Elephas maximus indicus: one gene and its partner. The protein of the gene in region 1 interacts with the protein of each later gene in a pairwise test. Links are inferred from orthologs where the notes say so. Each region holds a gene or a part of one and is shown on either strand. Other genes may lie near its edges.

Region 1 (6,915 bases):
GAAATGCTCAATTACCCTCACTTCTCCCTGGGGCAGTTCTACTCCATCCTATAGGGTCACTATAAGTCAGAACAGACACTACAGCAGTGGGTTTGGTTTTTTTTTTTTTGGACTTCTCCCTCTGTGATTATTTTCTCAATTGGGCTCCAGGGAAATACACAAACTATAGACTCCAAATTTCATGCTACCTATGTGGCAGATAATACTCTATTTACTGTCTAAAACTCCAGTTTTGTGGGAAATGATGAGGTAATAAGAAACACATCCCATTCTCTTCAATCCCTCCATTTTTCTATTTCAGCCCAGTCAGCCTATCTGGATGAACGTATTTAATGCGGAAAGCTCTAAAGTGATTGGAAACATTAGCATAGTAATCACAATGCTGTCATGCCCATCTGTCCTTTCTGTAGGATGAACACAAGTTGCTGCCTTGGAATTGAGAAGGAGGTCTCAGGGCAACTGTGGGTTGTCGTTTTTTTTAGCCATGGCAACATTCTGAGGTACTACTGGGAAGTGGAGAAATCCTGCAGTCCAGGAATCATTTGCTTTCCCATGAGAAGCAGCTGGGTATTAAGCAAGCGCAGCCTCAGCCAATAGCAACTGTGAAGTACAGGATGAAATTTATTAGTCGACCAAATGATGACTTTTATTGGTCCCCCAAATTAGGATTGTTCTTGTTGTTAGATTCAGTGGAGTCGACTTTGAGTGACCCCACGTGACAGAGCAGAACTGCCCCATACGGTTTTCCGGACCCTAATTTTTACGGGAGGAGATCGCCCCAGAGCGGCTGGGTAGATTCAAAGCGCCAGTCTTTTGGTGAGCAGTAGAGCTCTTAACCATTGTGCCACCTGGGCTCCTCGATTATTCAAATAAGCAATGGGTTCCTGCTAACAGCCACACCAGTGGGGGAAGAGGAACAGGTGTGCTAAGCTCCTATGGCAAAAATGATACAAACACATAGAAGTTTTCAAGAAAAAGAAAATATATTTACCTATTTCAGGACAAACTGATAAACTGTCACCTATGGTCAGCAATTCTGGCAACCTACCCTCTGAAGTTCTCCGTTAGGGCTTACATACAGTTCATAATTTAGCAATGGTCTAGAAGTGAGCAACCGTGCCTTTTAGAACCAAGGATTCTGTGGGGGCTTATTATCCCTCATCCTAAAAATGTGACTAAAAGATTAATCAGAAAGCCGTAAAAATAAGAGCTCTGTTTCTTCATCCTATTTTGAGGCAGCACCGCAAGAGAAATTACCATCAACACCCTGTGACCCTGAAAAACCCGTTTGATTCAAAACACCGTAACCCAAGTCAGTGTGATGAGAACGAACCAGGAAAGGGAGGAGGAGCCCGCGAACCAAGCCCACTGAAGCATTGCCACCAACCTTGGAGTCCTGCAGGCTGAAGACGCTGGGGTCATCGGTGCTCCCGACCATGATCTTGTGCTCCTTGCCCGAGGCATGGCTGCCGGCACCCTCGGCACGCGCAGCCTTGGTGCCGTGGCGCTCCCCGGACACCCGGTCGCTGGTGGTGTTTCCCATGTTTGCGGCTCGAGTCGGGAGCCACCTGCCGCGGGGAACGACATGGGGCGAGGGGACACCCCAGCTGCTGCGTCAGGAGCGACGCCGGTCCCGCCCCTGCGCCCTGGGACCCGAGCAGGGAATCCCCGCCCCAGGGAAGCCGTGCCCAGGGATCCCGTCCCTCTCTAGCTTCTAGGAAAAAAAAAAAAAAGAGCGCCCCTAAATCCCTAGGTCCCCTCACCGCCCCCCTCCTCAGGAAATCCGCTTTCGGGAACTGCCCCGCATCCCCGCGCTCACTGCCCTCATTGCAAACATCCCCCACCCCAATCACCTCCCGCGATGCGCTCCCTCCTCCCGGGACCGCTGGTGCAATGGCTGTTCTGCGGGATAAGGCCCCCAATAAAGTTATTGAAATTGAAGCCGCGCCTCGGGGTAGCGATCCGGATTTCCTCCTAAAATGGCTACAAGGCCAGTAGCACTGGGCACGCCCCACACACGTTCCCTGAGGCCGCGCCCCCGCGGCGCCCCGGGGCCGGCCGCCTCTCTAGCCGTCGCCGCCGCCTCAATGGTGGGCGGACGCGCGCGGCCTCCAGCGCCAGGCGGGGGCGCCCGACTCCCAGCCCTGCGATCACCGGCGCTTCGGGCTGGGGCCGCCGCACAGGACGAGGTGCTGCAACCGGGATTGCTGGTGAGACCGGTCGCTGGGCCTACCCTACGGAGAGGACGGCCCATGAACGATAGTCGGCGGCCACTTCCCTGACTTCCAGTGTTTGGTACCTGGAGGAGCAGTGCTGCTTTCCTCCCGTCCCGCTCACCCAGCCCAGGTTCGTCAGAACGTTTTCTGAGCTGCGTCCTGGTGAGAGGCGATCCCGAAGAGGTGGGCTCCTATAGGGAATTAGAAAACGGCTTCCTTTCCAATTCCAGCAGAAGGAGGTAGTGGTAATTGCGCGAGGTTTGAGCTGGGTGCTGTAGGATCGACGAGGAAGGAGCAGTGAGCCGATTGGGGCTCTAGGGAATATTTGAAGAAGTATGAGATAAACCTTGAGAAATAAAGAAAATATTAGTCTTAGGACAAGAAGAAGTGTTTGTATTGTAATTATATGCATTTCTCATTCCCTTCTAGAAACTTGCTACTCAACCTGTGTTCTACACACCAGCAGCATTGGCGTCGTCTAAGGCCCCCTCCTAGACCTGAGAATCAGAATCTGCATTTTAACAAGATTCCCAGGGGATATGTGTGCACATTAAAGTGTGAGAAGCACTGCTTTGACAACTCAGTAGGGCAGATCAGATTCAATTCCTCTTCACAGCCTTTCTGCGCCAGACCTTGTGCTGCTTTCTTCCCGTCCCTCTCACCCGGCCCCAGATTTTAATAATCTAAGTAAGCTTTTAATAAAGATTTGCAGAGTGAAGGGTACAGGGATACTGTTTACTTACCTTCCTAACAAGATAAGCCACTTAGGCTTAATCACAGCCAGTGATGGGCCACCCAAGTCCACCTTTTCTGAGTGAGCAGCTGTTTGTGGAAAAGTTTGTTTTTATATCAAGTTGAACATCTGCTTGACTCCAACAAATCCTCTCCTCCCCCATCTTTTCTTGCTGTGCCCCTTCTAAACTCAGCCATTCTCTGGCCCTTAACCAAAGAATTTGCAGGAAAAAAAAAAAAGGTACAATTTTACTGCAGCCTCTTGCTCACTGCTAAATTTTGACTAACTCCTATTTGTTTACCCCTACCCTTTCCCGCAAGGAGCCCTGGTAATGTAGTGGTTAATAGCTCTCCTGCTAACCCAAAGTTTGACGGTTTGAACCCACCCAGCGGCTCCAAGGGAGAAGGACCTGGTGATCTGCCCCTGTAAAGATTACAACCTAGAAAACTGTATGGGGTAGTCCTACTGTCACATGGGGCCACTGTGAGTTGAAAATCGACTGATGACACCCAACAACATCCCCTTCCTTAGTTTCTTTCATCCCTTCCAGTAGGATTCTGAAACAAGGCCCTTGACTTGTGCACTATTCTGTTCTCTAACCCCTGGGTGGTTTCTGCTTGCTAAATAATATGTTCTTGATATGTATTGCCTTATAATAGTATTAGTCTACAGAAAATTTATTTAAGAGAAAGAAACTGTTTTTGTAAATTATTCTACTATATTTCAAAGCCGAATTTGAACAGTGAGTAAGCCTTCCTCCTGAGATGTCCTAAAGTCTAAAAATTTGGACTGTAATCACTGAGCTAACATTGTAATTGTTAATTCTGATTCTGTGGTTCTGAATGAATGTTCTGAGGTCTTATTTACATGTCTTGCCATGACTAAATGAGTTTATGCATGACGCACCTGAGTGTGCCTCTATTAATTCCTAAGATAAACCCTGCATAACAACTCCCAGTAAAAGCTCTGGACATGGAAACTCCATGGGCTTCCTGGTCGATGAAAGACATCGATACACTTGGGAGGGTAGCGCATCCCTTTTTGGGACACAAAAGCTTGGTGTTGGCACCCCTCCTAGACCTAGCCTATGCATCTCTTCATTTGTGTGCTTTTTTCCTGTAATAAAACTATGATCATATGTATAGTGCTTTTTGTGAGTTCTATGAGTTTTTCCATAGAAGTGTTATACCCAAGGGAATAGTGGGAGCCAGTGGATCAGAAGTGAGGGGGCTGGGGACCCCAAAGCTTGCAGCTGGCATCTACAAGGGGTGGTGGGAAAACCCTGAATTTGTAACCAGCAGGTCAGAAGTGAAGGGGGCCCTAGGGACTTCCAAGATTGTGGCTGGAATCTGTGATCTTGGGCCAGCTTAGTCTGGAGGACTGTGCCCTTTAATCTGTGAGCTCTGACCTAGCTCTGGATGGTTAGAGCCAGAGGAAGGAGTGCTGCATGCGCAGCTGGTGTCAGAACAGAAGGGGCAGAAAAGTGAACAGTGGGGATTTTGATTTATGTTGATTATTCTCCTCCTAGTCTTAAAATGTGAGTCAGTAAACAAAATGTGGTATAGCCATACAATAAAATACTACTCAGATAAAATACCACTCAGCAATAAAGAAACAAACTCCTGATATGCACAGAAACGTGGATGAATCTCGAATGCACTATGCTAAGTGGAAGAAGCCAGATTTCATTTATATGACATTCTGGAAAAGCCAAAAACAGGGTCAGAAAACAGATGAATGGCTGCCAGGAGTCAGAAGTGGGAAGAGTGGTTGACCACAAAGGGGCATGAAGGAATTGGGAGGGGAATTACGGAACAGTTCTATATCTTGATTGTGATAGTGGTGTATACGTTTGTCAAAACTCACAGGACTGTACACTGAAAAGGGTGAAATTTACTGTATGAAAATCATGCCTCAATAAAAAATATAACCGTCTGTCCACTTTAGTACTGTTATCTGCCTTTCATATTCCAAAGAACTTGCGTATGAATTATATTACGAGATCTTCAAAACCTGTGAAGGAAGGCAGAAGAGATGATTATATCCTCATTTTTAAAATGAAGTTCGGGTTAAATATTAGTGTTTCTTGAAATAACATGTATAGTCCATTTATTTCAAGCCTAGTACTTGCTGGGACTGTGCTAAGCATAGACTGCTTAAGTAAGCCCCTGCTCTGGTGGAGCTCACTGTCTTGAAATAATTAAAAAAACCAATTTGACCCCAAATAGGTATGATCTATGGACACTTAGAACTAAACATTCACTGAGAATGTCCTTCAAAATACATTATTGGAAGAATTTGTGTCTCAATTAGTGTCTTGGTCAACATGCATCATTTTTGTTAGGTGCCTTCGAGTACGTTCTGACTCACAGCAACCCCATGTACAACAGAACGAAACGCTGCCTCATCCCGCTCCATCCTCACAATCATTGCTGCGTTTGAGCCCACTGTTGCAGCCACTGGGTCAGTCCAGCACAGGAATCCCGGTCCAAAGGATGCACTCTGCTCCTGGCACTGCTTTCTTGGTGGTATGAGGTCCCCACTCTGCCTGCTTTTGCTTTCCTTTTATCTCATGTGAGGCAAAAGGTGGTACAGGGCACATACCAGGGAAAGTCCCTTTACATTGAATCAGGGGTGTGACCTTAGTAAGGATGTTACCATTCCACCCTAATCCTCTTTAACAAAATTACAATCATGAAATGGAGGACAACCACACTTTACTGGGAATCATGGCCTGACCAAGTAGATGCATATTTTGGGGGGACACAATTCAATCCATGACACACCCCAACATGGAATTATATTCTCCAAGACCTTTTTTGCTACAAAAGTGGCAGTTGCTTCTCTGCAAGGAAGAGCTACTCAGTGAGAGAGCATGCAAATCATTATTAAAACAAATTGATAACCCTGAGAAGGGGGCAACTGGATGAAATCCATTTGCCATACTAACATGGGCCCTCAGGGTTGTGGAAAATGACCAAAGGAGTATTTCAGTGTTTTCCAGGAGTGAATAAAGGACTTGTGGGGCAAGCCTTGTGAATATCTGTAGTGGCTTTCTGAAATTTACCCCACTAATAATTTTAATAATTTTGCATAATTTGTATCATTTTATCTATAGCATAATGACTAGCTTCATGTAATAGATGAAGCATTGGATACTGTAAGGATGAGGGAAGGACAATTCTCTTATTTGGTTCAACTCATTACACAGATATTGGGTCTACTGTGCATCTTTCCTTTGTCTATAAAGCTTTTTCTCAAGTTCTGCATTTTCTTGTTCAGTTATTAAATCATCCTTTGAAAATAGAGAAATTTCATTAAGTTGTGGTCCAATTATTTCTGTCAGTATAACTTTATTTGCGCAAATTTAGGTAGCTGTCTTTTTGCCATATGATCTGTGAAATGGTTTCCTTTCATTTCCACAGAAGTAAGCTCTTTTTGGTGGGCTTGTGTTTTAATAATAGGTAGGCTTTTAGGTAATAATAATACATCTAATGGTTCTTTAATGAGCTGGCTATTTTTAATTTCAGTCCCAGACGATGTTAAAAGTCCTCTTTGTTCCTATAACAGTCCAATATTGTGTACAACTTTAATCTCATATTGACAGTCCAAAGTAACATTGGCTACTAGGCCTTCAGCTAACACACAAGCTTGGGTCAGAGCATATAGCTCTGCTTGCTGGGTTGAGGTGGCTTTAGGGAGAGGTTCCTTTTCTATTACGTCAGTAGGGGAGACTATTGGATAGCCAGCCTGAAATTTGGAGGAGTTTGGGGATGGTTTAAGATATGACTGATCTACAAACAAAATAAGATCAGGATTCTCTAAAATACATTCTTGTAAATCAAGCCTGGGAGTTAATAACTATTCAGTAAGATTTCGGCAGTCATGCATCAGCTCAGATGAGTCCATGATAGGCCAATAAAGTGGCTGGATTTAGGGCTTTGACATGCCAAATGTGAATGTGAG
Region 2 (7,896 bases), on another chromosome or scaffold:
TGACCTTCAAGGTCAAGGAAGACGTATATTGGAAATATAATGTGAGAAATATGTTGGCCAGTTGTTCTGTTTCAGCCTTATTACAGAACATCTGACCTTGCATGAATTGTGGTAAGAATGTGCATGAATCTAGCATTAAGTAACCAGTGGAAACCAAGAGATGGATTCAGGTTGAAGATAAGATCTCTGCAAAAAAAAACACCCAGACCAACGGAAGTATTTAGTCCAAGGTCAACTCTAACATGGGCTCAAAATGACAGAAACCTCCCCCCCCCCGCCCACTTGCTCTACGAAAACGCCAGATCCTTCTCCCAGTTTAGTTAGGGATGAAGAACATCTCCCAAGAAGTCTAGATCAGGAGATGAATTGTTTCCAGTCCTCCAAAAGAACTAGTTAAGAATGCAATAGTTAAGTGATCTGTTTTGAATTCCTTTGCATATTTTATTGCAGCCATTCTGAATCTCCCCCACCCCTCACCCCCAAAGGCCGTATCAACAGAATTTAGGGAGCCAAAGCAGCTCAAAAACTGAAACGACAAGCATCCCGGCTGCCAAATCAGAAGGTCCATCACTACAAAGCTCTTTAACTCAGGGAGGTTACTAAAGTGTTTGTGCTTAAATTCATTTTATTATTACAACTGGAATGTGATGAGATCTAATAGTTGAAAGCCTCAAATTGTTACCCCTGGGAGCAACACACACTGCTGTGTTTTGTGCATCTTGAAATGCGTGTGCAGATAACCTTAGTGAGGGAACTAACAAAATAACCAAACAACCTATAGCTACTAATTCTTTTTCCTCAAGAATGCATCATATTACTGTAAGATTTTCCTTTGGTTATAAAGTTCCATCACCACCTTCTATCAGTCTGTCATACTATGGTGGCTTTCGTGTTGCTGTGATGCTGGAAGCTATGCAGCCGGTATTTCAAATACCAGCAGGATCACCCACGGTGCACAGGTTTCAGCAGGGCTTCCAGACGAAGGCAAACTAGGAGGAAAGCCCTGGCAATCTACTTCTGAAAACTCGCCAAGGAAAACTCTATGGATCAAAACAGAATACTGTTCAACATAAAACTAGAAGATAAGCCCCCTAGGTTGCAAACCAACCATGGACTTAAGCATGCCAGTGATCACGAGGAGCGTTTTGTTCTATGGTACGTGGGGTTGCCATGAGTCAAAGCTGCCCCCAAGGCAAATAGCAGTAACAACAACATCAAGTTCTAAGGCTGAAATCAGTGGCTTGAGCAATTTCAGAAGCTAGAACTAGAGATGTTGATTTGTTTAAAACTGTATTCTTCTATTGTTATTGTTGCTAGTTGCCTTCAAGTCAATTCTGACTCATAGTGCCTCCATGTTTAGGGCATAAATCAGAAGTTTAGATCAGTGGCCAAGTGCAACCTTGATAATACCTGACTTTAACTCACCCAACACACATACTAGCAAAGAATCCTGTCTACATCGGCCCCATAGACACATTCTACCCAAGACAGGAGATGGCAAAATTGACATGCATTTTCTACACTGATCTGGTTTAAAAAAAAATTTAAAAAAGAAGAAGATTATAGTCATAAAATAAAACAAAAGCAAATACAAATAAATGAGGAATTAGAGAAAATAAAATGAAGCCAAAGATGAAATCCCAAATGTAGGGTACACAGTCTTCAATGGCAAGAAGTAGGAAGGCACGTTACTTGGTGAGTCCCAATGACTCGGAGGTATTGGTGCAGCACAGGTTTCCATGGTTTCAGTAAATTTCAACATTAGGCAAATAAGAACATCTGTTCATGCATCAGGACGGCCTCTCTAGAACCTTCCACAACACACCTGAAAATGAGCTTCATTGTGAAGTTTTATCTAGTATTCCATCATGATTCTCCAATACCTCACAACGTTAATCCAAGTTATGTATTTCGGAACGCAATAAGGGAATCAATTTGGGGACACATTATCATGGTTGCACTAAACACCTCATATTGTATTCTTCTTTTGGATTATAACTCGCCAAGTGAACTTTACTACCTACCCATTGCTGTCCAGTCAATTCGAACTCATAGTGACCCTACAGAACAGAGTAGAACTGCCCCATAAGGTTTCCAAGGAGCAGCTGGTGGATTCCAGCTGCCACCTTTTGTTTAGCAGCCGAGCTCTTACCCACTACACCACCAGAACTACAAGTAACCTTTAGAGCACAAAAAATAGCTCTCCGCCCTTCACTATCTGAAAAAATAATAATTGAACTAATTAAAATAAAGACTAAGAAGTAAATGAGAAAGAATCCAACAGATTCTTGTTTTAACTCTGTGCATAAGTTACAGGCTGAATGTTTTCCCAGCCAGCAAGCCGGAGGGTGCGCAGGAAGGAGAGGGGAGCTAGTTTACATGGTATTTCTTCAAGTTCATGCAAGACAAACATGAATTACAGATTCTTCTCCACTGGCTTAATAAAAATATAAGGTGCTCTAAGGTCCCTGCGTGACCTAATGCACTCAACTACTAAACAGGATTGGCAGTTTTAATCCACTCAGAGGTATCCTGGAAGAAAGGCCTATCTGCTTCCGTAAAGATTACACCCTCAAAAACCTTAGGCAGCAGTTCTACTCTTTAACACATGGGGTCGCCATGAGTCAGAGTGACTAAAAACAGTTTTTTTTGTTTTTTGTTTTAAAGGGGCTCTTTAACTAGCCTTAAGTTCCTAACTTAAATTCCATTTTATGCTTTGATTTCTGACCACGTGTCTTCGCAAAGTTCCTGCAGCTCTGGGAGAAAGGCATAGATACAACTGTATCATAGAAACGGCCACCGTGCAGGAGTCTGAAGGGTCGAAGAAAACGCATTTCCTTCACCTGCTCTGCCCTAACCTTGTTAGCTAGACGCCAGCAGCACAGTCCCACCAGCTTTGCACAACCTGGCTGTGGCCCCAGCACCTTACCCTTAGTAAAAGCAAGGGTCCTTCCTAAGTACCTCACCTCGCGTTCAAAACGCAATCGCTCTGCGATCCGAAGAGATGGTGAGGAAAGCTACCTTCTGTGGCTTTTAAATTATAAACACCTTTTTCTTTTTTTCCATTTTGAATCAGCCGGCCTGACGCACATTTTGGAAAGCAACCCCCTTCTGCTCGCGTCGAGTGCAGTGCTTCGTGGAGAAAGCAGGCGCAGCCCTGCGCCCCCCCGGGCGCCCCCTGGTGGTCTGTCGGGCCGTAACGCAGCTGCGCCTCAGTTCACCCGGAGGCTCAGTGGACTCCCGCATTCAGCGGGTAGCGGGGGCGAGGGAGGCCCCTCCGCCGCGCGGTGGAAGCCCGGGGGACGCCGCGGTGGAAGCGGACGTAGCCTCGTCCACCTTTCTCCACTCATAAGGTTGGGAACGTGGGCCAGCGTCCGGAAATAACGCATGCTACTTCCCCTGCCACTTCTAGTTCCAAACCTGGGGCGGCGGGGGAGAGTCCTGGAGAAACAAGGCGAAAGCGGGGCTAGAGCGCAGCGAGACAGGGAACGTGCGAGGGCATCCCAGACCCAGAGCTCTGGAGAAGCCAGCGAGTGCCAGGTAGCTGCGTACGGATGTGGGCCGGAGCTGGACTGGGGGAATCCAGCGCCACATTTTTCTAGCTTCAAGAACTCCCACCCCGCATGGGGACAAATTCGCAGGTGCTGTTAGGAATGTTGACCCCTACAAGCAGGTACTTTCCTGTAAAGGAAAATATTTCTGTAAGACATTAGGTAGAATAAAGTATCATTGGTGTTTTAATTTTCTACTTGTGCTTCCACGTGAAGCACGTTTCTAAGTAAATAAACAGCAGAGACGAACATATGCATGCATCTTACATTTTTGTATTTCTATTTATTCTTAAGTGGGAAAACACAATTCACCTTCAAGACGGACAATAGGATCTTCTTGAAAAGTGTGCTAGGTAACAAGGAGACACAGAAATGAAGGATGCCTTCTGATTGAGTGAAGAAGGAAACCTGAAGTGCAAGTGGCACCCTCCCCATTTCAGAAGCCCACGATGTTGCTCTGAGTATTACTGAATTAACTACTTCCAGAAGGCTTAAATTTTAGAATTTCCTTGCACCCAACAAATCATTAAAAATGCTCTTCAATCATTAAGAACGCCTCCATCTATAGCTAACCCTCCTAAAACCAAAACCGATTAAACCTATTAAACAGAAAAACTACCAATCTAAACAATCAAAAGCAAACCCCGGCAAGAGAGTAAGGGACTTGAAGCCCGAATCTGCATTCCGTTCCTCCCGTACTCGGCTCCGAGGTGGGGGAGGCGGTTTGTGCTGGTGCCTGGTGTATAATCGGGTTAATCCGGGAGACAAAGAATAAACCAATAGCCCTCCCACCTCACTTCCCGCTCCCTTCCTTTCCCCCTCTCCTCCCCCTGCTCCCCCTCCCCGCAGGAGGGGGGACAGAAAAGGGGAGAGATGGACTTGAAGTCGGTTCCGGATAAAGTCTTAAAACCTGCATGCAACTTGTTTTTAATGCGAACATTGCAGAGCTGGGATGAGTTGTAAATGTTCACTCCCCTTTCCTAGTGGCGGGGAGAAAGTTCCATAAGTCAGACCGAGCTTATGGCTCGTCTTCATGGCCTCTGGGAAAACCTTAAGGTCAGTGTTTCCTTGAAACTAGATAAACTGACCCCGCCGTGCCCAGCCCAGCCCCGCGAGCGCCCCGCGTGACGGCGCCCCGGCTGCAAGACCGGCCAGAGGACGCGCGGGGCGGCGCGGTTGCCCTTTTGAATGCCTCCTGCGGCTCGGAGCGCTGGCGGGCGCTGGAGTGTGAGTGAATGTAGCCCCGCGGAGCCAATGAGCTGGGACCGGATGCGATATATCCTCTGGGACAACAACTGCTCTGTTCCGCCTCGGATCCACATGACGCCATTTACTGCTGCCGCGGCGGCCGCAGAGCTCCCTGCCTCCTCCGGAAAGGCGAGGGCGCAGGCCAACGGCGAGCCCCCCCCGGCCGGGCCACAGGCCCACCTCCTCCTCCTTTTCCTCCTCCTCCTCCGCACCCACCGCCCTAGGCTCGGCCTCGCCGCCGCGCCTCCGCAACGCCCAGTCTGCACCGCCGAGAGCTGCGCGCCGCAGCGCGAGCGGAGGACAGGGGCCGGCGGAGCGCGCAGCGCCCAGGCCCCCGCGCCCGTCCGGCCCGACTCGCGCCCCCGCGCCGCCACCGCTCCGACACAGCTGAGACCGCACGACTTGGCGATCTGGCTTTAGGTTCTCTGTAAGGCCGTTTTCTTGTCTCATTCGCTCGTTTGCCAGGGAAAGAGACTCGCCGTTGGCGCTTCGGCCTCCTGTTCATTGAGAAAAAGAGGAAATACTCCGCGTGCGCTTGTAGAAGGGGGGTCGACTCTATCCCCGAACACCGGAGTGTTCATCGGATAGCGACTTGGCACCCGGTTTTCTTTACGTTTCATCCGCCGATTGCTCGGAAGTTGGACTGAAACAGAGTTTGGAAAGAAGGGGAAAAAGTTTGCGTCGAGGCTGGATTTATTTGCACATCGCAGTTAGAAGAGAATCCAAGGGAGAGGAGTTGGTGCAAAGCCGCGATCACGGTGAGGCGCGTTTGGCTCTTCCCCTCCTGGCTCCGTGGCCGGCGTGTCGCGGGCAACATGGAGTAGGTGCAGCTGGACTGCGAGTGGGGTTCATTTCACCTCGGATCTCCCTTTCTGTAACCCCGCAGGTTCCCCACGGGGATCAGGGGTAGCTGCCTCGTCCCGGACTCGGTCTTGGCCCGCCTCAGCGGGGACTGCCGTGCACACCCCGCGCAGTATCCCCGCGTCCTCCCTAGCCCGGCGACCCCGCGCACCCGCGCTCGGGAGGGTGGGGGGTGGGTTGGGACGACGATCAGGTTCTCAGGAATCAACTCCTGGCCCTGCGAGGGCAGCGAATTGGACTCTGAGAGCCGGGAGAGGGAAAGCATTTTGTGTTTTCCAGGTCGTCTTTGCAGGCGCGGGGATTTGTAACCTGTTTCTCTCCTGGGCAGGCAAGTCCTAGGCGACGCTGTCCCTAGGCAGGGCTCCGACGGGCCGAGGGTGCGCGGGTGGAGAGAGGCCCCCGCCTCTGCCTGGTGTGGACGGGGGCGAGCCCTGTGCTGGTGGGAGCGTCTCCCTGCCCGGCGCCGTGTCTCTGCGGTTTGGAAGTGGCGCTTTCTCTTTTTTCCGTTCTCCGTGGTCGGCCTGGGTCATGGTTTTATTTTTGGAAGCTTGGGCTGACCCAGCACAGGAAGAAAGTCATCAAGTGGTAGCGATCATTTTCCATTATCTGAAAATGGGTGGCAAAAGAGGCTATTTTTTTCATTTCCTCTGATGGGCTGATTTTTTTTGTTGCTGTTGCTATTTTTAAATTTCGGTATCTTGTGTGTTTTTACAGAGCGGTTTCTCTGTGGGTTTGCCCCACCCTAGTACCGAAGTCCTTTCCTCCTAATCCATAGTCTGATCACACACTGTTATTAATGGGGGTTTCAAAGCACTTTGGGCTGGGGGGACTGGGAACGCACTAAGTGGCGGGGGTGGGGCGGGGAAGACTGGGAAGAAGGAGACCAAGAATCGACAGAAATCACTTTAAAAAAGACTACTTAACTTTCTTTTAACATGCTGCTCTCAACTTGCAGTCACATCTGCGCTGAATGTTTGCAGCTCAGGCATCTAAGTCCTGCCTGCGCGGCGAGTGCAGTGGCGCCTTGGAAAGCGCCCTAAACTCTTAAAACAATTTCTATCTTTAAGAAATGTGTGTGTGTGTTTAGTTTCTCTACACCGAAAGTAGATAATAGTGTGCAGATTGCATACAGTGTCCACTTAGGTCAGTGCAGCGTGGAGTCGCGCGAGGTTAAGTATGGGCGTCAGGGCTGTGTACCTTAGGCAGGGCTTTCTTCCTCGCCGCGTCGGTGCTGGAAACTTAGGTCCCGCGCTCAAGGGCCTTTTCAAAAACGCCCTACGGTGGGGTGTGTGACCCCAGCCTAGGAGTGGAGTGGCTCCCTCTTGGGGCTGGAAGGCGGCTCTCAGTTGGGGTAATGGGAGCGGCGGCGGGGGAAGCGTGCTCCTGCGTTTCGTGACACGTCCCTTTTGGAGGCGCCCGTGCCTCCCCCCACCCCCCCACCCCGCGCGCCTTTCTGTCGGCCTGGGGATCGTGCACGGTGGGAAGGGGTGGGGCTGGCCCCTGGGCAGCGTCAGTCCGCTCGGAGAAAACTCTCTCGAGGTTCCGGCTGAGTCCCACCTGCTGGGGACGGCGTCGGGGCGCAGATAGAACCGATAAATGGAATGAAAGCAGAGAGCAACGTTGTCTTGTCTTTCTGCTGGAGGTAAGGAGGAGATCTGGCTTCCAGCTCTGTCTTGTTCCCGAATTGCTAGGCGTGTGTCACCTGCCCTGTTCGCTGTGGTTCTGTTTTCTGAAAAGGAGAGGTTGGATAAGGTTCCTTTTTTTTTTTTTTTTTTAATGAAATCATGGAAAGGGGGATAATAGTTTGGAAACTTACAGAAGGATTACAGTTTAAAGGGATTACTTGTCAAAATGCTAAATTCAAGATGTGACACTTGAATTTTTAAAGCTTTTTTTTTTTCCTCTTCCAGTTGATTTATGTTCTCAACTGTAAGTTTTTTGGAAAACAAGCAAATCGGTTAAGATTTTGACATAATTCTTATATGCAGCAGGATGCAGTAACCGTTGGCCTGCAGAATCTAAGGTATTTTTCCTAGGCTATCAGGTTATGAGATCCTTGATTCTCAAGTTGTTGGAAGGTTGAGAATAAGTTCCTGTCTGGTTGCTTGTTGTGTAAGTTTGATTTAATGTGTTCCTTGCACCTAATGGTATTTGAATTGATTTGTTTTTAATCCCATATCTTTGTGCTGTTATATAGTCATACACAATGGCATGCTTGTAAAATTTATAACTATTT

Evidence for each region.
Region 2: the proteins of PRKAB2 (region 1) and SPRY2 interact in binary tests that used the Homo sapiens proteins (3 or more experiments, as listed by UniProt). The link is inferred for Elephas maximus indicus from reciprocal best matches to the Homo sapiens genes PRKAB2 and SPRY2.

Annotation. Positions count from the first base shown.
Region 1 is NC_064821.1:159,056,584-159,063,498, reverse strand, and holds the start of PRKAB2 (5'-AMP-activated protein kinase subunit beta-2), read right to left. Parts: upstream 3,017-6,915; 5' UTR 2,960-3,016; intron 2,563-2,959; 5' UTR 2,300-2,562; intron 1,996-2,299; exon of another isoform or gene 1,854-1,995; intron 1,569-1,853; 5' UTR 1,544-1,568; coding exon 1,388-1,543; intron 1-1,387. UniProt on the Homo sapiens protein: Non-catalytic subunit of AMP-activated protein kinase (AMPK), an energy sensor protein kinase that plays a key role in regulating cellular energy metabolism.
Region 2 is NC_064832.1:73,732,621-73,740,516, reverse strand, and holds the start of SPRY2 (protein sprouty homolog 2), read left to right. Parts: upstream 1-4,889; 5' UTR 4,890-5,557; intron 5,558-7,896.